Styela clava: one gene and its partners. The protein of the gene in region 1 interacts with the protein of each later gene in a pairwise test. Links are inferred from orthologs where the notes say so. Each region holds a gene or a part of one and is shown in the gene's direction. Other genes may lie near its edges.

What was found.
Region 2: the proteins of cysteine protease ATG4B-like (region 1) and microtubule-associated protein 1 light chain 3 beta-like interact in binary tests that used the Caenorhabditis elegans proteins (3 or more experiments, as listed by UniProt). The link is inferred for Styela clava from reciprocal best matches to the Caenorhabditis elegans genes atg-4.1 and lgg-2.
Region 3: the proteins of cysteine protease ATG4B-like (region 1) and gamma-aminobutyric acid receptor-associated protein interact in binary tests that used the Caenorhabditis elegans proteins (3 or more experiments, as listed by UniProt). The link is inferred for Styela clava from reciprocal best matches to the Caenorhabditis elegans genes atg-4.1 and lgg-1.

The regions. Positions count from the first base shown.
Region 1 is NC_135251.1:22,062,094-22,069,571, reverse strand, and holds the start of cysteine protease ATG4B-like, read left to right. Parts: upstream 1-4,457; 5' UTR 4,458-4,799; coding exon 4,800-6,038; 3' UTR 6,039-6,960; intron 6,961-7,006; 3' UTR 7,007-7,478. UniProt on the Caenorhabditis elegans protein: Cysteine protease required for autophagy. Cleaves the C-terminal amino acid of ATG8 family proteins lgg-1, to reveal a C-terminal glycine.
Region 2 is NC_135263.1:18,745,305-18,752,577, reverse strand, and holds microtubule-associated protein 1 light chain 3 beta-like, read left to right. Parts: upstream 1-4,163; 5' UTR 4,164-4,243; coding exon 4,244-4,280; intron 4,281-4,914; coding exon 4,915-4,970; intron 4,971-5,185; coding exon 5,186-5,292; intron 5,293-6,401; coding exon 6,402-6,576; 3' UTR 6,577-7,273. UniProt on the Caenorhabditis elegans protein: Ubiquitin-like modifier involved in the formation of autophagosomal vacuoles (autophagosomes). When lipidated mediates tethering between adjacent membranes and stimulates membrane fusion. Less effective at promoting membrane fusion than lgg-1.
Region 3 is NC_135256.1:5,678,957-5,686,494, reverse strand, and holds the start of gamma-aminobutyric acid receptor-associated protein, read left to right. Parts: upstream 1-4,530; 5' UTR 4,531-4,617; coding exon 4,618-4,707; intron 4,708-5,060; coding exon 5,061-5,139; intron 5,140-7,538. UniProt on the Caenorhabditis elegans protein: Ubiquitin-like modifier involved in the formation of autophagosomal vacuoles (autophagosomes). When lipidated mediates tethering between adjacent membranes and stimulates membrane fusion during autophagy. Recruits lipidated-lgg-2 to maturing autophagosomes.

The DNA.
Region 1 (7,478 bases):
CGTAGGGATTTTAGGAAAGCTAAAAAATTATTTACAAAATTCCACCTTGAGAACCGTTTACTTTGCACTTTTTCAATCTCATATACAATATGCCATAGCTGCTTGGGGCTCTACAACTCAGTCCAACATGCATAGATTAGAGGTTTTACAGAATAGAGCCGTTAGAATCCTCGCTAGAGCACCATATCGTTCGAATTTAAATTATTCATACCATAAAACTAGAGTGCTTAAATTGACTGACATCTATAAACTAGAAATCTCAAAAATTATGCATCAATTTCAAAACAATCAATTACCAGCAGCTTTTGACAATTATTTTGTCACGCTAAGTTCAGTGCATGAACATAACACTCGTTCTTCAACAAGGCGTAACTACTTTGTTCCTCGCTTCTCACTTGCCAAATCCCAAAAGTCCCTCAAATTCATAGGTGTGCGAATTTGGAATAACCTACCCCAAACCCTACGTGATTCGTCTTATGCCGCTTTCAAAATAGAGTATAAAAAACTCATGATTTCCACCTACCGGTCCAGTTGAATTTGCAAAGTGAATTCTCCAGGATTACTTGATCATACAATGAGTTTACTCGACTTGATCCACAGTCCTCGAGTCCAAGTAACCTGTAATAAACATTTTACTATTCTTAATAAACGGAATTATCAATGTTTATTTGGCAAATTTTTCGGATATCTACTTAAAATACTTTTATTGATATATATTGTTAATATACTGACTCACTTATGCCCTCACAGATATATGTGGAGGTACATTTACGCTTTTTCAAAAAACAAAATGTCTCTAAAATTAGAGGCAGCATATGCCAGGATTCTGGTTCCAGTAGATTTGACAGCACAGTCTAGGCCAAAATAGGATTATGTTGATCAGCTACTACAGCTGTCCGACTGACCCATACTATTAGTATATTTATTTTATATGTTTGTAATTCGGTGAATTTTTCATTTTTATAATTGAGTGACTTATATATTCTGCATGAATTGCCTTATCATAGTAGGCTATTGTACTGCTGTGACTTTAAATTTATGTAATTTATTGACATAAATTCTGCATGAACCGTCCTATTGAACTGTTGTGTATATACATTTTTTTAATTCAATGATTTCTATATTCTACATGACCTATTCGATCGCACTTCAGAACCGTTGTGATTTAAAATTCTGAAATTAGTTATATTTATGCCACACAAAATGACTATTTGTAAGTAATGTAACTCAATGCAATTACCTGGTTTAGTGATCTCTTAATCTGTTGCCCAAACCTGTAGATACATTTTATTCTTTTTTCTCTCTTCATATTATCCTCGTGTACAAATTCGTCCCCAGCCTTTATGAACCATGCATCAGCACAGTGCCGGTACCGTCCAACTCAGCTTGCAATATGGTGCTCCAGTCACTTAGACGTTACCGTATTTGTGCCGTAGTTGTCATGGTTATCTGCCAGTCGGCGTTCGGAGTCGTTTGCTTAGTGAGTCCGGAAATATCCGGTCTTTTTGAACATATTTCTGCCAATGTTAGTATTTTAGCGTCCGACTCCTCACTTTAGTACTGTATTTAGTTCGATTTTTGTTCTTGTATAACCCAATGTTAGACTATTCATAGGTGTCGTTGCTCGATAACCAATGCTGGTTTATCGCGTCCCCTTTCACCCTGAAATGCATTATTTTCCTCTCTTTTCTTATCTCGTTCTGTATGTACAGTGTGTATTTCTTGGTGATAAAATAAATTACTGATTACTGATTACTGATTAGATATGAATAAAACCTTTTACATAGACCAGTAGACAGGAAATAGTAAAATCCTCTTGTCATGATAGGTACTAGGGTTGGATTATCCGAGTAGCGGTTAACCGGTTAACCAAGAGGTATTTTGCTATCTGATAACCGGTTAACCAAGAGGTATTTTGCTATCTGATATCCGGATATTATTGTAACGATTAACCGGATAATAGAGCAGTATAAATAATGCATATGCGCATTAGTGATTTTTATATTTTTTGTTGAGTGGCCACTGACATCTCTCAGAGCATATAATAATCACTAATATCCACACTACTCTGCCTATATTTTAGTCATCCGTGTAATGCTGGAGTGAACTTGACTATTACATCACAAAACATGCAGAAAAATGTGATTATTGCGTATTTGCGTTATAGAAGAGCCCGACTTACGTTAAAATAAAAGCATTTCTACTCTAGATATGAAAATAAGTGGTAAGCTGCACAAATAAATCCAATTTCGTATTTTTGCGATTTTGCAAATTCATCAAATTTGAGTTATTATTGCAATTCCAATGAGCATAATTTATTTAGTACAATAAATGCAGATTAATTAGCTTTTCGGGAGAAAAGTCGGGTTCAGTCTCATCGGTATATAACGCGGATAATTGTATTATTTCGCCTGGAATTGAAATGGCGCAGTATGTTATCTATCGTCGTATCTATCTATCGTTAAGAGAGTAGATCTGAAGCACACATTTTTGACTGAAAATAAGGAAGTAAATGCTAAGGAAAATATCACGACTCTTGATTTATGAGCCAGTGATAGATAAAAAAAACTCTGTTTTAGGCGCTGTTGAATCGCCAAAATTTCGTAATAATCGTATTTACTGAATTTACAACAAGGGTAACTTGTCACGGAATGTAACTTCTTTTCAAATTAAAACTGGCATAATGCCGATATTAACTCCCCAAATAAAGAAAACGATCGGCGATGATGACAAAATTAGCCAGTAAAATTCGACCGCCTTAGTGACGTTTTCAAAAATTTTAAAAAGAGGAGGAAGGGCTGTTATTACATTTATGGTTTTCATGGAACTTTCCCAAACAAGTTTGTTTGTAAAATGGTCTATAATATTTCAGCAAAGTTTAATCTGACAGACTTTGTATCGTGTCATGTTTTTCATTTACTCATTGAGGGTGGTAAGTAAAGTTGTTCAAAAACTGGCGCAGCATTGTTTTGGCTCTGTTAATTTAGTTTAAAAGATATTCGAATGGAAATAGATTTGAAGTTGTGGCCTAATTAGTACAAACGTGAGAATATTTACAGTGACATGTTAAATAAGTGAAGTTTTCAAATTAGAAGAAATTCCTGACCACTTTGGTATTTTCAAAACCATCAATTTGCTTTGTTATTAAAATTTTTGTTCAGATTACTTATATTTTTTATACACTTCACGGAAGTGGTCCCCCCTATATTCTATTTTTTTTTGGATACTTCTCTCAACGAAATCAAATGTTCGAAATGCACGATTTTTTGTGATCGTGTTTTCATTTATATGTATGCTCTTGTGGTATATATTAACAAAGTTTATTTCGTCGTGCAAGAAATCACAAAATATTATAGAACACAAAATACTATACATGACAATATTAAATTTCATTGCAATTGATAGGAAGGTGCGGATGATCAGAAATGATCATTGTGAGTCTGCGACACTAAAATTTAGTACGAGTCAAAATTTAATGAAAAGAGGCTCTAGACACAAAAGAAGCTTTTAAAAAAATTAACAATAAATTAGAAATAATATAAATCTTTACATATTATTTGAATAGGAGAAAATAACTTAGCAGTCGGGGAAAAAATAATTAGGACACAATATTTTCAAAACATGTTTCATTTTATTATTCCGCTGTACATCGGTACGATTACATAACTTAAATTATCATTTATTGACACATTCAATATTAAAATGCACAATCATTCTTATTCAAGGAAAATAATACATATGTGAGTATTTACAATAGAACTGTGTGGTGGTTTTTGGTCAATTCGCCGCTAAAATCGTGCGAAATCGGCAGCAACTATCTGGTTAACCGGATATTTAAAATACAGAATACCCGGTTATATCCGTTATGCGGATAATAAAAATTATAGGTATCCGAACTAACCCTAATAGGTACCCCATTCAAATTAGCTGGCTAATCTTTATAAATTTTGTTTTTCCATGCTAATATAAAACATATCCTATAATCTTCACCATGATGACATTTGGGACAACGATCGACTCTATTGGAACTACAATGAATTGCTGATATTGAATGTGTGAAATATTTTGTAATTTTTGTATGGGTATTGTATACTTATTTTTCTCCACCTAAACGGAATTCAAATAATGCAATTGTATTCCGAACTCAATATTAACCTAAATTAGAATTGGCATCCAAAACTATCTAATACACTGTTATATGGACAAAAAATACAAAATTATTATATTCTTTATTGGCACTGGGATATTTAAAAAAAACGTTGATTTATTTTGCTCGTCTCTGAAGTAATCGCACTTGTAGGAGCTAGAGTTGAAATAAACTATCATAGCGCACCTAGTTCTGTAGTTCAGTCACTTAACTTCAAAAAAGGATATAAGAATTAAGATTGTTATTTAACAGTCCTGATCACTTCGAAATTATTATGGAAGATTATCAGAGTCTTTGTTTAATGTTTTTCCTTATGTGTTTTCTTCAATTAATCATTGCGAAAAACGAGTAATAAATCTGCGATTAGATGTTTCAATGATTGCATAAACCTGTAAACGGGAGCATACTGATCTATTCATTGCAGACAAGGTAATTGCTTACAGTAATCCTGTAATCTGAAATGCAGCCCCGGCGAGAGAATAAGGTGTGCCAGTAGGCATTGACCCAATTAGGTCGTCTATTCCACTTTCTTCCCCTCAGGGTAATTGTGGAGAATCCTAGTACTCCTCCATCTTAACTTACATCTACATTCATTCCTAGTTCTGTAGTTGCATACCTTACCTGCATACTATATGTAATTGCATATCTAGACATGGAAGGCGACTCCAATTTTTCTTGCTTAACATATGAAAATGTTTTGTCAAAAGAAGATTCGTGGACAGACAATGAAATTATTTGGTTAATGGGGAAAAAATATGTCCTGCCAAATGATAGAGAACAGTTTTGCGAGGCAGCAAAATCCAAACTATGGTTTACATATCGAAAAGGATTTGATTCGATTGGTGGGACAGGACCAACCAGTGATTCAGGTTGGGGATGTATGTTGCGCTGCGGCCAAATGATGCTGGCTCAAACTTTGCTTAGGTTAAAAATGTCTCCACAATGGAAGTGGCGACCAAACGAACTTCAGTCGTCTAAATATTATGAAGTATTGAAAGATTTTGCAGATGAACGAACAAGTTGTTACTCAATACATCAAATTGCACAAATGGGAGTGCAAGAAGGAAAAGAAGTCGGTCAATGGTTTGGCCCGAACACGATTGCTCAGGTCCTAAAAAAATTGTCTGCATTTGATAACAAAAATGACATCACTGTTTATGTTGCGATGGACAACACAATATGCACGAAAGATGTGGAAAAATTATGTCTGAACTCTTCAGTTGAAAACAGTGCAACTTCGTTCTCTATCTCTAATGAACAGGAAGATCAACCTTCATCATCGTGTCGTACAAATACAGCCAAAATATGGAAACCTTTAGTTTTATTTATTCCACTACGACTTGGACTATCAGAGATAAATCCAGTATATTTTGAAAATATCAAGGAATGTTTAACTTGGAAAGAAAGTGTTGGAATAATTGGTGGAAAGCCCAATCATGCATATTATTTTATTGGACATACAAACACTGATTACATGGTCTTCCTTGACCCACATACTACCCAACCAGCTGCTGTATGGGATGATAAAATAGTTGAAATAGAACATGACAATTCTTATCATTGCGAGTATCCTAGTAAAATGCCAATGTCCCACCTTGATCCTTCTTTAGCGTTAGGATTTCTATGCAAAACTAAGAAAGAATTTGAAGGAATATGTGAGAGAGTAAAAACACAGAAGTCATCTAAAGAAAGCTTACCATTATTTGGTGTTGTTGAATCATTTCCAACATGTACTGTAGTAGAATCAAAAGTGGTTTCTGTGTCGGCTCATAACCTTTTTAAAAAAAGAACTGGAGATATGACGGAGGATGAAAATGCATGTTTAACCCTCGATTCTGATGAAGATTTGGATGATGTTGATGAGGAATTTGAGATTCTAGAGATTTTATGAAAAGAGACTTTACAAATTTCATATGTAATTATTTTTATTCTGAACGATTGGACTTTTTCATGATATTCTGACCAAAAAGTACATTTTACTAAATTTAAATTTGTGTTCCCTGAGCACATTTTAGATACGCTTTTGTTAATTGAGAAATACTCTACTTTCTTGTGCAACTCGACAATCCTCTTAGAGTATAAAATAATTAGCCATGATATCGCGGCCTGATAAATTGAGACTGTTTCTTTATGATTCTATTTTCCACCATTTCACATTTAAATATGGACTGATTGCATATAAACTTTGCAGTACGGTCTTAAATGCCCACCCCTGGTGTAAACTATTCGGTTTACCCGGTCGGAAATATCTCAGATGTAGAATTATATTATGTAGCAGGTCTTAATTTTTCAAGTTTACTTAAAATGGTGTGCTTTTCTTTACAACTTTATACATGCCTATGTGTATATTCATGAATTGTTTATGATGCCTTATGATTTTTTTCATCTAACCCAGGGCTTCCCAAACTGGGGTCCACGGACCCCTGGGAGTCCATGATAACTGCACAGGGGGTGCAATGCAATGATATGAAAAGAGTGTGATCAATCTTTAATGATTGATTTCAGTCAAAAAGCCTTCGCGTCTTTTTGTTTGAGCGATGTGACAAATATCCATTGCTGTCAAAAATTAAAATTATATTGCCTTCTGCAACGACCTACATGTGTGAGGCAGCAATTTCGGCTCTTAACAGTTAATGACAAAATGCAGCTCGAGACTTACTGTAGAGTCAGACCTAGTTTGCTTGTAACAAATTGCCCTGAGAATTGATAAATTGTGCAGTGAAAAACAGCATGCTGATTTTGTATGCAACTTCATCTATTACATTAATGACGTTTGTGTTGTAAATGAAACGATATCCCCCCTTGTTGGTTAGGCACAGAAATTGATATGGAATATGATGGCGGTCCGTCAAAAATTAGATTCACAAACAGGGTCCGCGACCCAAAAAGTTTGGGAAACCCTGATCCAACCTATTAATGTGTTGAAATAATTCTAATGAATTTTACAATATTTTTTATGGCATGTTTTGGTGACCCATGACATTAAATATCAGACCTATATTCTTTGATGATGTGAAAAAACATGTAAACAAAAATGAAACAAAACATGCTGCTAAAGGGAATTGTTCATTGTTTCCAGTACAATACAACTTCTTTAAATATGTCTCTAAACTTATTTTTAAGGTAATGAGTAATGTCATTTTCTATATTCTTAATAAATTGATGTTATTAAATACTCCAGGGAAACTGGTTGATATTGAAATTGTATTTTACATAATTTGTTTTCAAGTTTTTCTTTGTCATGTTAGTGTTCAAATTTATTTCATTTTATTAAATCCTTACAAATATATCTTATGTTATGATCGATGTAAATTTCACTGTTATAATATAC
Region 2 (7,273 bases), on another chromosome or scaffold:
GCTTAAGAGACATTTATCGGAATTCTATTAGATTTAGTGAGTTAAGGACATCCTACTTTTCCGACATTACTTTTCAGATACAAAGGGTACATAGCAGAAAAGAACTACAGCGATGAAACATACCCCCAATCGATTAACAATGTCATCATGAAACAAACCTCCATTGATCGGAAAACAAGTTTCGAGACCCCACGGATCTATTGTCTCTCTATCTTGCATAGTTTTATTGTTCACTTACTTCCTTCGCTGTATCGTCAATTATGCAAACTAGGTCATTCATTAAAAATTCATAATTATCATGCTGGGACATGGCGGCAATAAATTTTACACAATAGCGCTGAAAATGGCCGCATTTTATGCCAGACTCTCTATTGTTCCCATATGTTTGGTCCAGTGCAAACTATGAAACTCAGGTTTACCAAAGGTTTTCTACATTAAGCTTTTTTAAAATTTTCTCGTGTCGTGGCCCCATCCAACGTTGGTTTCTGGCAATTTTATATCCCGAACAAATCTTTACCTGTTTCGTGAGACTTAGTGTAAAAACATATCAATTCAGCGACCCATACCCTATCTCCATCTTTTCACACCGGAACCTGGGATATGGACGTGCCATAAACTGACTATTGTACATATCGCCGTTGTGCCGTACCTCTTTTTCTTGTGTATTTTACTAGAGTTTTATTTGTATAATCAATTTCATGTCTGTTGTCCTAGTTCTAGTATAACGCAGCAGTCCTAAACTGCAGTTATAATTGTTAGGGGTACATGTCGCACATCTGTTCTGTGTCTTAGGCCAGTAAGGTCTTGAACATGTATCCTGTCTCTGTAAAATTCGTTACCCCCCCCCCCCCTTTATCGCAAACATTTTCTGAATCAAATATGCTGTAGTGTATATGGTAGTATAAGTCTGCTGAAAACTTAAAAATTGTCATTAAATTAATCATAAACCTTTCATACTATTACTAGCATACGTTGTTCGGGGTAACGTTATATCTTTTTGGGTCCAGCCTTCCTTGAAGTTACCTTACCGTACCTAATAAACGTTTTGGGAGCTAATGCTCAATTAAAATTGCAATCCACGGTAAGGATCTAGAAGTGTTTAATAGCTTACGTAAAATTTTTGCACAGTCTCATCATAACTTTACTAATAATAACTAAAAAAAGACGATGAAAGAGCTACCTACCTCAACGCAAGAGCGGGCAGTACAAACTGAGATTCATTCGACCTCGGGAATCCACCTACACCTGGTAAAATTTTATTGTTACGCCATGCAGAAGTCTGCGTTCATTGACAAATGTTGCCGAAAAGCAGAGATTATAGGACAGATATTTTTTGTAGTAAAAGCGTCTTTTTCGCAAAACGTGCAATTTTTCAAGCACCATTTTAAAATCATTTTCTGATAGTTCACTTATGTGCGCTACGAAACTGGAAGATAAACGGCCTCGTCTCACGGCTATATTGGTTATCAAGGGCGCGACTGAGCGAGGATTTTTTCCATTTATAGACCTTGAGTTCAGAAAAGGATGTAGGAGTTAAAGTTGTTATTTCACATGATCACTTCGAAATTAACACGGGGAAAACATCTGATTTCAAATTTCTTCATCTAGGCTTCATTTGATCATTGTGAAGCCGTCTGGAAAACGAAAAGTAGCTCTGCGACTTTTACACAATATCGATTCGACTTGTTCTCTGTGGGTTCAGCATTTGGGGGTTCATGAGTCAAATTTTTATGTCTTTCTACTTTTCCGATACTCTGGCACGGAGATCGGAAAACGAGTTTTGAGATAAATAATACTGACCAGCGGTGGCGTTAAAGAATTATGATTTTTTTAATCATCTGATCAGATGACGGACTAGCAGAAGTAAACAAAGAAGACTGTTGTTGCTCCGCGAACGGGCGAATGTATGGCTTCCATTTCGACTGCTGCTGCAATGTCGATTCTATAGCTTGTGCTGAAAATAGGTGGGATGTGTAATGTGAAGAACTTTATTGTATTCTTGTATTAACATATATTAATAAAAAAAAAATAGGTGGGATGTTCTTAGTCTTGAAGTAAAACCTAGAATTAGACACATTTTTGGGGATGACTTATGGGTTTTCTGCTCACAAGAACCAAGTTTACGTCATATTTAGTTTGGAATTGTCCCTCACATACAACGTTTATGATTATGTTTTTTCTATTGCTTGGAAAATCCATCATTGTGTATTGAAAAATAATTATATTAGTCTACTTGTATTTTATTAGATTTGAATCATCAATGTTACTCACATCTGTCAAACTTAGAACGTAATGCCATTGTCTTATTAGTTATTACAGTATTATTCATGCTATTCTGTCATTGCTGTATTCTGGTATTGCACTGCCAGACATAAAATTTGGCTAGAGACCGTAGAGAGGAATTCAGTCATTTTTTGAAATGTTGACCCAAGGGTAAACAATGTGATGATGAAATCAAGAAGAAATATTGAAAAGTATAGATAAAATCCTAAATTTACAAAAGAACTCAATATTCTGATATTATACTGCTGTACACTGAAACTCATAGAAGTTTAATTTGTTTTTTCTTAATAAATATTTAATGTTACTTATTGAATAATGTACTGACTGACAATTATTGCGGAAAATACATGCTGGTTATACAGTTATAACAACGGAATATTATATTGAAAAATGGAATATAACAGTATAATGCAGTAATGGAAGTATGGAACAACTCTCTGACTCTACTGATAATGTATTCGTGTTTTAACACAGTAACATGTATATACTTATTGCAGTAGTTATTGTTATTCCTACTGTCATATAATATTTTATTTATTCTTTAATTATTGATTAATCCACATTGCGGAATCATAAAAAATAGGTGGTTTGAATGATAAAAGTTTTGATTAGTGTTTTCCCCAATCAGTGTTTTTGAGTTTACGTGCATATAATTTGAAGATTTACAGTACCAACATATCTTTGAATTGAGCTTGTGTGTATCGTGCCTTCTACTTTCTGATCCTTCTTTCTCACTTCTGCACTTTTTCACCCTAGCTTTGTATCAAATTGAATAGGTTACTGTAATTTTAGTTTAAAGAGAATTAAAAATCCAATGGCTCAAAACTTAATTTTGACTCAAGTCTCATCTACCTCGACCATCGCTTGATGGTGTGGCGCATCATGCTAAGCGTTAGGAATACGATCACTACCGCGCCTGTGATTTCTCTGCATGGGTTCGCAGGTTCGAATCCCTTGCGGGGTAAATTATATGCAAGAGGAATACTGAACTCCTCCTCGCCGTAGTGTGGTTCACGTTACCGTTGGTCGGTTACGCCTCCCTTCGCCATCTGAACATCAAGCCCATGCATCTGAAGAACAAAAAACTGGCTAACTAATCTCATACCCGACATGGACCGGACGAGACGAGAGGCCGAGGTTCGTCATATAAATAAGCTGTATTACCACCTTTCCTCTCCCTCCTAAAAATGTAAATCCCATCTTTCCTCCCCTAAATATGTAAATCCCATCTTACCTATTGACCTAGGTTTGTGTTTTCACTTAACTCTTTGTGCTGTTGTGTGTGTTGATGAGTAGACGCATGATATTTCTCATGCTTTAAACTTTTTCAAAGGTTTTCCTCACTCTCCATAATTAACTTCATTTTATGATTTTAAATTTGTTTGTATCCCTGAGTTTTCAAAATGAATTATCTATAAATTTTTTGGTTTTGTTGAAATTATGTAGGCTGCCTGTATGCTATGGGATCTCATTTGTCCGACAAACTATCATAATTAGCCTGTTAGTAAGTTTATATGAACCATTGCACCATATACACATTTACACAGGGCTTCTAGAAACGATTAAACTACAGCAGGTAGTTCTGTAGTTTAGATATTTATATACAATTTCACCACGACAAATTGCTATGTTGCAATATAAAAAGTGATGATATTTAAAAGGCAATGATAGATATTGTAGAAGGTAACAAATTCAAGCTGTTGCATATCTGAACATAGATATTTGAGTTAAGCCGATTATCTCGCTGGTACCTACAGACTGACAGACCTATGGCAGTACAGTTTGTTACTTTATATATTAATTGAGGTGTTCACTTATTTTAAGGAGAGTTGATTTGCATTTCTGAACTGATTTCAGATATTTATTCAAACATTTTATTTAACAGATTTCAGTTATATATTAAATAAGATTACATCCAGATAACAGTATTCTGGTTGGTTTGACAAAGTTACAAGGAAATATGACCGAGCGAACATTTAAGCAACGCAGAGCATTTGGTGGGTTTAGTAATTAATAAAATCTATATTTTTTTATTTAAATTACCCAATGATGGATTATGTTGGTTGTTTATTACTTATCAATCTTTAGATCGGTAAGTATGTTGATAGGTATTTGTTTGTTTGTCTGTTAGATGCACGCGATATCTCACGAAGGCGTGAATCTGCTCCAAATTTTGCATGTGCATTCATCATATCTCGGACCAGAAGCCTATTGATTTTGGATGAATTATGTCGCGTAATTAGCGAGTTATCAATTAATTAGTGGTGGGACACGCGGTGTCACTATAGAGTCATGAATCGAAACCGCAGTTTCGATCGATAAGTCTTCGGTCTCCGACCGATCATCTTGTTAAAATGTTCGTTAATTGATAGCTTTTTTTCTAAATAAAAATATGTTTCATGCCAATTCTTCAAACTTGTGGAGGCTTATTATGACATAAATATTTAGTTTGAATGGCACTGAAATTTGAAGAAGTTTTGCAAAATGTTGTACAATTCAGATAATTAAAATTACTGTGAAATTAGCACGATGTTTCACAAATTTCATGAAATGAGGTTTGAGTTTTAAAGTGATAATGATTCCCAGCTTAGATGATTATTGTGTAATTTAAAATGCTGTTTTCAAATTTAGATGAAAGAGTTTCTGATGTCCTACAGATTCGTGAACAACATCCCAACAAAATTCCAGTGAGTATTGTTATCATTTTCAAATTTTTTTTACACGCAAATTCCAGTTGTTAAAGTTATCAATTCATAATTACCGTATGTTAATTTTTAACAAAATAGATTTCAATGGTTTTTGTGGACCCATATCACAGCAAAGAAAAGCCTATTTGAGATTTTCAAAGAAAACCTAATATTTTCATATATAACTTGTTTAATTAAAATATATATTTTCACAGGTGATAATAGAGAAATATCATGGAGAAAAGAATTTGCCGATACTTGATAAAACCAAATTTCTTGTGCCAGATCATGTCTCGATGTGTGAATTGGTGCGAATAATACGGTGGGAATTTGAACTTTACTGTAAAACGAAGGCAATCAATGGCTTATATTTTATCGAGTCACTGTATGATGCTTATTACTCAGAAGCATGACTCTTTCAGCCATTTGTTTCCATTTTAGATTACTCTACTCAGATAACAAATTATTATCTTGGCTATGATGTCAGTGAAGATTAGTTTACAAAGCTTTGAAGAAACCAAAAATATATACAGCCAGTTTAGCCGGCCGATAGGAGCTAATTGTGCAAAATAAAATTTCTATAAATAAACTTTAAAAAATATATGTAATACCTAAGAGGTAGGCTACTATAGATCATAGGTTCTCGTAGTGGTCCATACGGGGCCCCAGTACCACGTGAGAGAAATATAGGGGCTCCGTGAGCTATTTGTTCACTAATCAAAATACTTGCTTGGCTAATTTTGTAATTGCCCGAAGAAGTAATAACGTCATTTTTAAAATTTGACGATTTAATGATACATCCGAACCATTAAATAAAGTAATTTTTATTTACTCAGGAATGTTAATGCCCTCATAACAATGTGTTTTTGTTTTTATTTTCACCTTTTTCTTTGTGGGGATGTGTGAATAATAGTCATTTCACATCGTCACAAGAGCCATACACATCAAAAACACATCTGCACGCCAATTAGATAAAGAGTGAACAATACATCTGGGAGATCTGTAGGGTTTATCTTTTCTGATGATTAAATACAAATTGATTCTCTCTTTTTAAAAGTTGCATTTTCTTTAGTCCATATAAAAAATAGTAGCATTATTTTATCTTTTGTGTTAAAATTTTTTTTAAATCCACCATGCCATTCTAATGGTTGTTTGAATTCTTGGACTTTGTGGCCTACTCCACATCAAGTTGTGTAAAGGGATGGAAGCCTATGGGCGGGGGGTATATTGACTTGGCTAACACAGACAGTCCCTGAACTCGTAATACTACTAAGATTAAGAAAATCGGAATAAAATTATGGCCTTACCCTAACCTGGGACACATACTATGTGAGTATCGTGGCAGGAATAGATTTTAGAATATTTCGATATATTCTGTAGGATGATTGGAGGAAAGTATTATAAAGTTTGGTTGTTTTAATCTATTTTCAGGAGAAGACTTCATCTGAGTCCCAACCAGGCATTTTTCTTGCTTGTCAACCAAAGGAGCATGGTCAGTGTTTCATCACCAATTTCTGAGGTTTACGCAGTAGAAAAAGATGAAGATGGATTTTTGTATATGACTTATGCATCACAGGAAGTGTTTGGATCAATTAATACATTGTAAAATAAATGTGCGATTTAATTTTATGTCTATAATTGTAATATTTTATCAAACTTTTTATTGATGTGGTGTCATGCTATTTGTAATGGTTGTTCATTTTAACCAGAATATTGAGTCACGTTTTTCAAAATCTTAGAACAAAATTGTAAATTATTCGAGGTTATTTTTTGCATTACCTTGTGAAATATGATTTGACCTGAAGTGAACATACATACTGTATTGCTGATTTGTTGTATGTGGAAATAATCAGATGCATTAGACACCCAAGCTACAACTCATTCATTGGTTTTTATTGGCTGTTAACTAAATCATAAAAATGTGATATTTTCATCAATATTTTTTATCACACACTTTCTGCACTTGTATATTTGTATATATATTGAATTCTTTGCTCATTTTAGCATGGTGTTTGTACTATGTGATATGTCCTCATGTAAACAGTCTGTATTATTTTAAAAATGGGATTGTGTTTCAAATCAATAGATTTCAATGAGTGTTCAATTCAGGGGGACAAGTTTTGTTTAAATTAAAAAACATATGAAGTTTTTATCAAATTTATAATCTGTAGAATAGTATTCTGTAAAATGCGTAGTGTTATTCCTTTGGGAAACACTTGTTTTAAAACGAAAATAAAAATCTGTAATTAATAAATTATATAAACGAACAGGGAATATAAAAGTACATATTTCAGAAAACTCAA
Region 3 (7,538 bases), on another chromosome or scaffold:
ACAAATGGGTTATGCGCACGCAGACAGATATAACACACTGGGGACAGATATAACAGAATCAGAATACTCTTCATAATCACATGTGTACTAATTTTCTCCACAATGACTTTGATAACAGGCTAAATGAGCATTCGAACGATCCGATATAATCATACCAATTCATAATGTTGTTACATATTCATTTTATGGCGTATTATTGTTTTTGTTTTGTGCGTTTACTGTTTTTAAGAACATTGGCTTCATTGATTACATGAGCCTACATATTTACGAGTGATTAGTCAGATCAGATTGTTTTCATAATTGCCTGAGCGTAGAATTTACCAGCATTGTTTTGATTTTTTTTTGTATGTTTCTGGATTCACTGTACCACATTTTCACCAATGCCAAATCAATGTAGTTTTCATGGTTTTTTGACCCTTCTCGCCACCTTATCACATTATACCTACACACGTTGTCTTTGTATCAGATCGAATTAGTCCTTATTGGCTTGAGTATTTTAAAAGTATACAACACCCCGAAAGTTTATTACATACGCGTATTTTTGTGTGTGTTTATTTTTGGCCCAAGCCTTGTTTATCAAGATTTGTGTTTTTTGTTGTGAATGCGTGTTGGTGGGCGGGCACATGATACTCATCGTGTTTTAAACTTTTTTAAAGGTTTCGCTCGCTCTCCAGAATTCTCCATTTTTAATTTTACTTGTATTATCATATTGTGGAGTCATCGAAAAAAAATATCTATCTATCTATCAGCTGACGAGTAGCGTTATATTTGGGATTTCAAAAGTTTTGTATGGGATTTAGGCAGTGGTGGGATTCAGCCGGTTAGCATCGGTTCTATAGAACCGTCTCACGGAATTTTATGAGATCAGCGAACCGATTAGCATTACTGGTTCCTGTCAATGACTTTTTGTAACAGAACCGGCTGAATTCGAAACGTTCACAGCCCAATGACAACTGAAGTAATTGTTTGATTGGCGCTAATAGGCGCGGCGGTGTGGCTCAACGGGCTAAGCGTTAGGAATACGCTCGCCACCGCACCTCTAATTACTCTGCGTGGGTTCGCAGGTCCGAATCCCATGCAGGGATGATTATGCGCGAGAGAATCGCTAGACTCCTCGCCGTCGTTGGGTGATTCACGTAAACGCTGGTCGGTTACGGCTTCCTCCACCACCAAGTTCATGCTTCCGAAAACAAACAATATAACTAATCCCATATCCGACGTAACCGGACGAGAGGCCGTGGTTCGCCTCTCCCCCGGGATAAATATGTAAATCCTAATAGAAAATGTTCCGACTAATGTGAACATGATTCTGTGCAAAATTGAATTTCCCCAACAAGGGTCGCAGCATATTTACCGGTACATTATAAAAGCAGTCCGTGAAATATTTTAGTCAACATAAATTGCGTTTGGCGGAATGATAAACCATTATTTTTATGAAGTTGTCCACACAGAAATAAAACTCTCCATTGTCATTTTAACTGATATCTCCATATTCTAGTCGTTGATCTTCATTCAGTTCATCACATCTACTTGTCCCTCAAAACACTATGATGCGTGACACTATGATTAATATAAGGAAGCGAATCGCAAAGAAACGACAAAAACAACAGATAAATGATTACTCCTAAAAAAGCACAATTCTACACGTGTTTTAGTGTTGAAAAACTCAAGAACCACAACGGTGGTTTGGCATTTGGTTAACACAACGCTCACAAACCCCAGGTTGAGTTAGAGAAATGGTCCCGTTTTCTTCACTTTCATCCAGTCGTTGCTTTCATCCTATGTTACATGGTGAGATTGACCATGTAGTGCTTTTACTTTTTCGTTTTTTAAAAACCAAATTTGAAGTTTCAGAAACTTCCCCGAATCCCCCGTATGTCTGTCTCGTGTGTCGCCATTTTTGTCTCACAGCGAAGTTCAAATCGAATTACTTTAATTTCCTTTGTGTATAATTACATTTTTTCATGATTGTTTATATACTTTTGACAGTTTTACGTGCTTTAATTTTTGTGGTGATTCTTGCACGATAGAAATAAAATATCTGAATATATAACATTTCAAACGGGGCCGACATAGAAAACATTGCTTATTGTTTCCCATGGCATCATAGCGTTACAGAATTACTGACAGCAGTGATGATACAAATGTCATATTTCCATTACTGATTGTGGTGCAATTTCATTTTAAGTCAGACAGGACGCGATCAAAGGGAACACCAAGGAAGTCCCTGGTGATGCAATGAACCGAATCGATATAAACAAATGAAATCATATGATTACTCTCCTGACTGCTAGTATTCATCCGCATCGACACTATTTACAAAGCTTACTTATTGCTATTTGACGGTATTTTGGGGTTTGAAATGTTAAAATAGCACTTAAACTTGTTGAATATAAATTTATTGATAACCTATGATTAAAATATAGTATAAATTTTGTGACGAGCGTTAAAAATATTTGTTGGTCAGCATTTGAGGAACTAGTTGCCATTATACAAAGTCGACATCGCAGAAGGGTTGTTTCTAAAGCAATGGTAATGGTATGAATTTTGTCTTTATTTTGATTTTTACTATTCATATGTATTGGGGGGAATGGGATTAAATTAAAAAATGATAAACAAAAACATGGAAACAAAAAAATATCTATTTATATATTTATAATAAAATGATTTGATACCAAAATATTAATACGAAAATTCCGTTTGGCATTGGAATTTATTTGGCACAAAAAAAAAAAAAAAAAGAAGATTGTGTCGCAAATTGGGACAGTTGTAAAATACTTTATAGTAATGTAGTCTAAATGCTCCAAATTCTGAAATTACTGAATCTGCATATCCTGAATTTGTCTGTTTAACTTCACTTTTCGTTCCCCATCCTTCGCCCAAAAGGTCAGTGATATTATAGGCGGATACGGTGAAGGGGCATTGCACGATTTTACATCGTGTCTTTATTTATTTAAGATAGATATTTTGTGTTCTTTTGACTGATTTTGGTGGACGGGCACGTACTTGTATGCTTTTAACTTTTTTTTATTAAGTTATGCCCGTCCTCCAGGTCCTCTGCATTCTGTTTGTTGTTGTTTTGTTTCTTTTAGAGTGACCAAAATAAATTGATTGATTGAAGGGGACAAAGAAACAAATGTAAACAGATAAATATTGTCGGACTATAAGGGCGTGATATTGTTCTGATTATTGCTGTTCCGAATTAATTTTGGACTTTTACATTATGGGCTGTATTGGTACAGCTGTAATTAATTCTGTAAATGGATGGTTGGTGACTTTGTCTGTTTGTGACTTCTTGCAATTTTTCAATAACAGAAATATGCAATTTGTCTACCAGGTATTTTATTGTTGAGTATACTGTGGTTGACTGATTACAGTTACAAAATTATTAATATGGTTTGACAAAATTTATTTTTTTATTTTGTTTGTATATTTTCTATTTACTAAGGTATATATCTTATATTCTTATGTTTAGCTTTTCTCTGTTCTAATTTTATTCAACTTGCTGATTTGTGAACGAGCATGTACCACGTCTTACGTTTTAAATCTTACTCAAAGATGCTTGATTGCTCAATAGCACACCTTGCTATGCTGGTTGCCTTAACATTTCGATTTGGCTTAGGATAGCATGTACATTTATATCTGTATATATTTCATGAAGCTACGACGGCCCTGACTGTGGAATAGTTCAAAGCCTGTATACTATATCTGTATATACTTCGTTAAATCGGGTCTGGTGTAGTTTCGTACCTAACATACTTCTAGTAAGCGAAGCATAACAATTTTTCGATATCCCAATCCTAACCCCCATCTGATTACGCTATCCAAAAATATTTTTCATGTTTGGAAAGCATCTCCTATTGCTTGGTTGTTAAACTTTTAATTTATTAGCTTTTGTTGAAGGCACTTGAAATAAAATGTTCTTATCATTTGCTTTATATTTAGTCCTTCCATTTTTGAATATAGAACGGAGCTTAATAACACCAGTCATCATTTCTAGGTTTCCTTTCTATAACATAAATCATTAGCATTTGCTGGTTATTTTCAAATAGTTCGAGAAATGTGTTACTGCAGTACTGTGTTACATTGAACTTCTGGGGAATGTGCATGCACTTGTCCATGCCTGATTTTAATAAACTTGTATCAATGCAATCTATATATGAATAGCCTCTTTTACGTGACTAGAGTTCTTTATTCCAAGCCAGAGGTGGATAATTACCTTATTACAGGTTACAGTAGACTTGGTTACTGGGCCGTAGGCTCAAAAAAAAAAAAAAAAAACATTTCATTTACAAAAGCTAGTCCAACAGCTAGGCTAACGTTTATTCAATAATAAGTAGCAAAAGTAACAATCGTGGTCATTATGACGTTGTTTTTTTCGATATTACCAACAGAAATTTATATTCATAAAAAACTATAGTCGTAATTTTAGCAATTACAAATAGGTCCGTTAAAACACTTCGATGGTTCGGATCTGGCCCGCGAGCTATAATTTGCCAACCCATGTTCTAAGCTGTTAATTTCTACTTCAGATATCTATATAGGAAGCTAATTATAACTCGTTGCAGTAATTCACTGCGTTGTTTGTTTGAGCGTTATCATCAAAGTTATTTCAAGATGAAGTGGGTTTACAAAGAAGAACACAATTTTGAGAAGAGACGAAGTGAAGGGGAAAAAATAAGAAAGAAGTATCCTGATAGAGTTCCTGTGAGTTTTATTCATGGTTTAAAATAAATAACTTTTTATTCCCAGGTTTTGTTCCACTTAATGGTGTGTGACAGATTCGTATATTATTATTTGTTAAATATTATATTGATTTATAGTTTAACAAACAATTAACAGCTGGACTCTGATAAATCCTCTCTCTGGCAATGGGTTCCACTTGTGTGCTTCAAGCAATACTGGAGAATAATATTGTTATTTGCCCCCCTAAGATTACTATATAATACTGTAATATGATGTTATAGGTTTTATCTTGTTTTAAGTAGCAGATTAAGTTGAGCTATGATAAGTAAGTTTACAAATATACTTTGTGACAAAATTTCTTATATTTTTACCAGGTAATTGTAGAAAAGGCAGAAAAATCAAAGATTGGAGATTTGGATAAAAAGAAATATCTTGTTCCATCAGATTTAACAGGTAGATTTATTTCAAGATTGTCCAATGTTGTTATGAACCAAAGCTTTTACTTTATGTGCTTTTACTAGCGCAGTGGTTCTTGAACTTTCCGTAACCCCCTTTCAAAGACTCTGACCATTTCATGGCCACCTGCTCTTCAAATAAAATTTTACAGACCATGTGCTAGTCCAAATACAACTAGTGACCATGAAGTCTCGAAAAAAATTTTAAAATTGCAAAGGGAATTTATCGATGTCTTATTGTCTTGGCACTCACAAATGTATTAGATGAATTAAAAATACAAATGAAGTAAATAAACAATTACTGATTAAAAAAACAACAAACCTTGTTATGATTGGTTAAGATATATTGAGAACTGACTTCATAACAGTATTGGAATTGTAAAGGGACTTGGACACCCTGTATATACAATATTGAACATAAAAGCCAGTTTGTGTACAAGTAAAGTTAATCCTTCTATAAACACACAGAGTAGGTCTCATCCTATTAAGATTGATGTAATTAGATCACACGCTGAGACCAAATCGATTAATTTAGATTATCAATAATTATATATATATTGATCAGATCATAATGAAACTGAAATAAGATATCACAGCTTCCACCCAACTTAATTTTTATTGAACCTTGTATCGCCTACCCTTCCATGATTCGATATGGAAGAATTTAATAATTTAAAATGCACTTTATTTTGAGTATTTACTAAATATTCTTATTAATGGTAGCAGGGAGTATTCCCGTAGTGTGTGTACCAGTTTATGGTTAGGCCATAATTTTATTCTGATTTTCCTTACTTTAGTTCTATTACAAGTTTGGAGACTGCCTGTGTTAGCCAAGTGAATATACCCCCTTCCCGTAGATTTTAGTCACTTTATACAACTTGATGTAATGTAGGCAAACAAAATTAGTTACCTCCATATTCTGGAGCGCCGATTTACGTGATCTTTGTTATACTATTCACAAACCATCATAAGACTAAGTCACATGACATGGATCTGAGTCATGCTTCAATAATTATGAATAATCACATATACATCACTGAATCATACTCAAGTAAATTATTGATGGTCAAATGTTTGTTCATATCTTGTTTATAAACGGCCCATGCTTGAACATAGTTTGAACTAAAGATCAATTTGGTGTCAAAAGTATGTCTCATTGTATCGATGGATTGTGATGTGACAATCACAACATACCGGCTCACGGACAGCTGTAGATGATTGTGCAGCGTATACAATCACTACTTAGCTTTGTGATATTCAAACAAATTGTACAAACTTCCATGTACTCGTCTATGTTATATACACCAGTGGTTCCCAACCGTTTTTTCTAGCGACCCAAATTTTTGAAAAAATTAAATTTGTAAAATCTGGCAACCCAAGGTTATGCTCAAATACTAAACGTCATGTAGTACTTTTATGGCCGGAAAATTGAAGAACTGATATAAAATAAAGTGAGAAAGATGCGCTAGTTTGCCCTCAGCGAGGTTTTGAAATCGTGGCGTAGTTTTCTGAAGCAAAACACATAAATGCTTCACGTATACAATTGCTATTGAGCAATACTTTAATACCCACCGGTAATATAAAATAAACAATAAAATTTACTTGAAAATAAAATTAATATCTTGTTGGTTATTGCAAGACAGAAATTTTGCCTTACATATTGAAGTGGCGCGCGGAGAAATATTGAAAAACAGAAACGGTCAGTGTGCGCTATCGAAGCAATATTTTTTGTTGTGTTAGTGATAAATATATTATATAAAAATATTTTTTGTCGAATATTACTGATGCTGTGTCTGTGTGCAGCCAGCCTTGAGCAAAACAAAATGAATGCTGCATATTTTTCACGCTGTGATACTTCTCATGCATTTAAGCAACACTTCAATACCAGATACAAAATAAACAATAAAATTTACCCAAAAATGAAATTATTAACTTTTTGTTTTTTGTTGAAGAAACCAAGTTTTGGGTGGCAACGAATAGGTTGGGAAACACTGATATATAACTATATACTATGTTACAGCATTCTAAAATTTTCGATGTAAATCAGATCTTTTAATATTTTTAATTTTCGTTCAGAAAATTGTTATTTTGGAAACTTTGTAGAGTACTGCAGAAAATTAAAAATTTACATGAAAGCATGTTTTTTTTGTATTTTCTGCATTATGAAATACATTCTAATTGTTTGTTCAAATTTTTTATCCACCTTTCCAGATAAGGAATATTTAATATTCTATAATTAAAAATATTTTTTATCAAAATAGATAAGCAAACACCAAACAGTATCAGCTTTGAAAATCTTTTCGTTCTTGTATACATCATTACACATCAGCGGAACTTAGCAAGAATACTACAAGAATAATAGTTCAAATTTATTGATTTGAATATGCAAACTGTAAA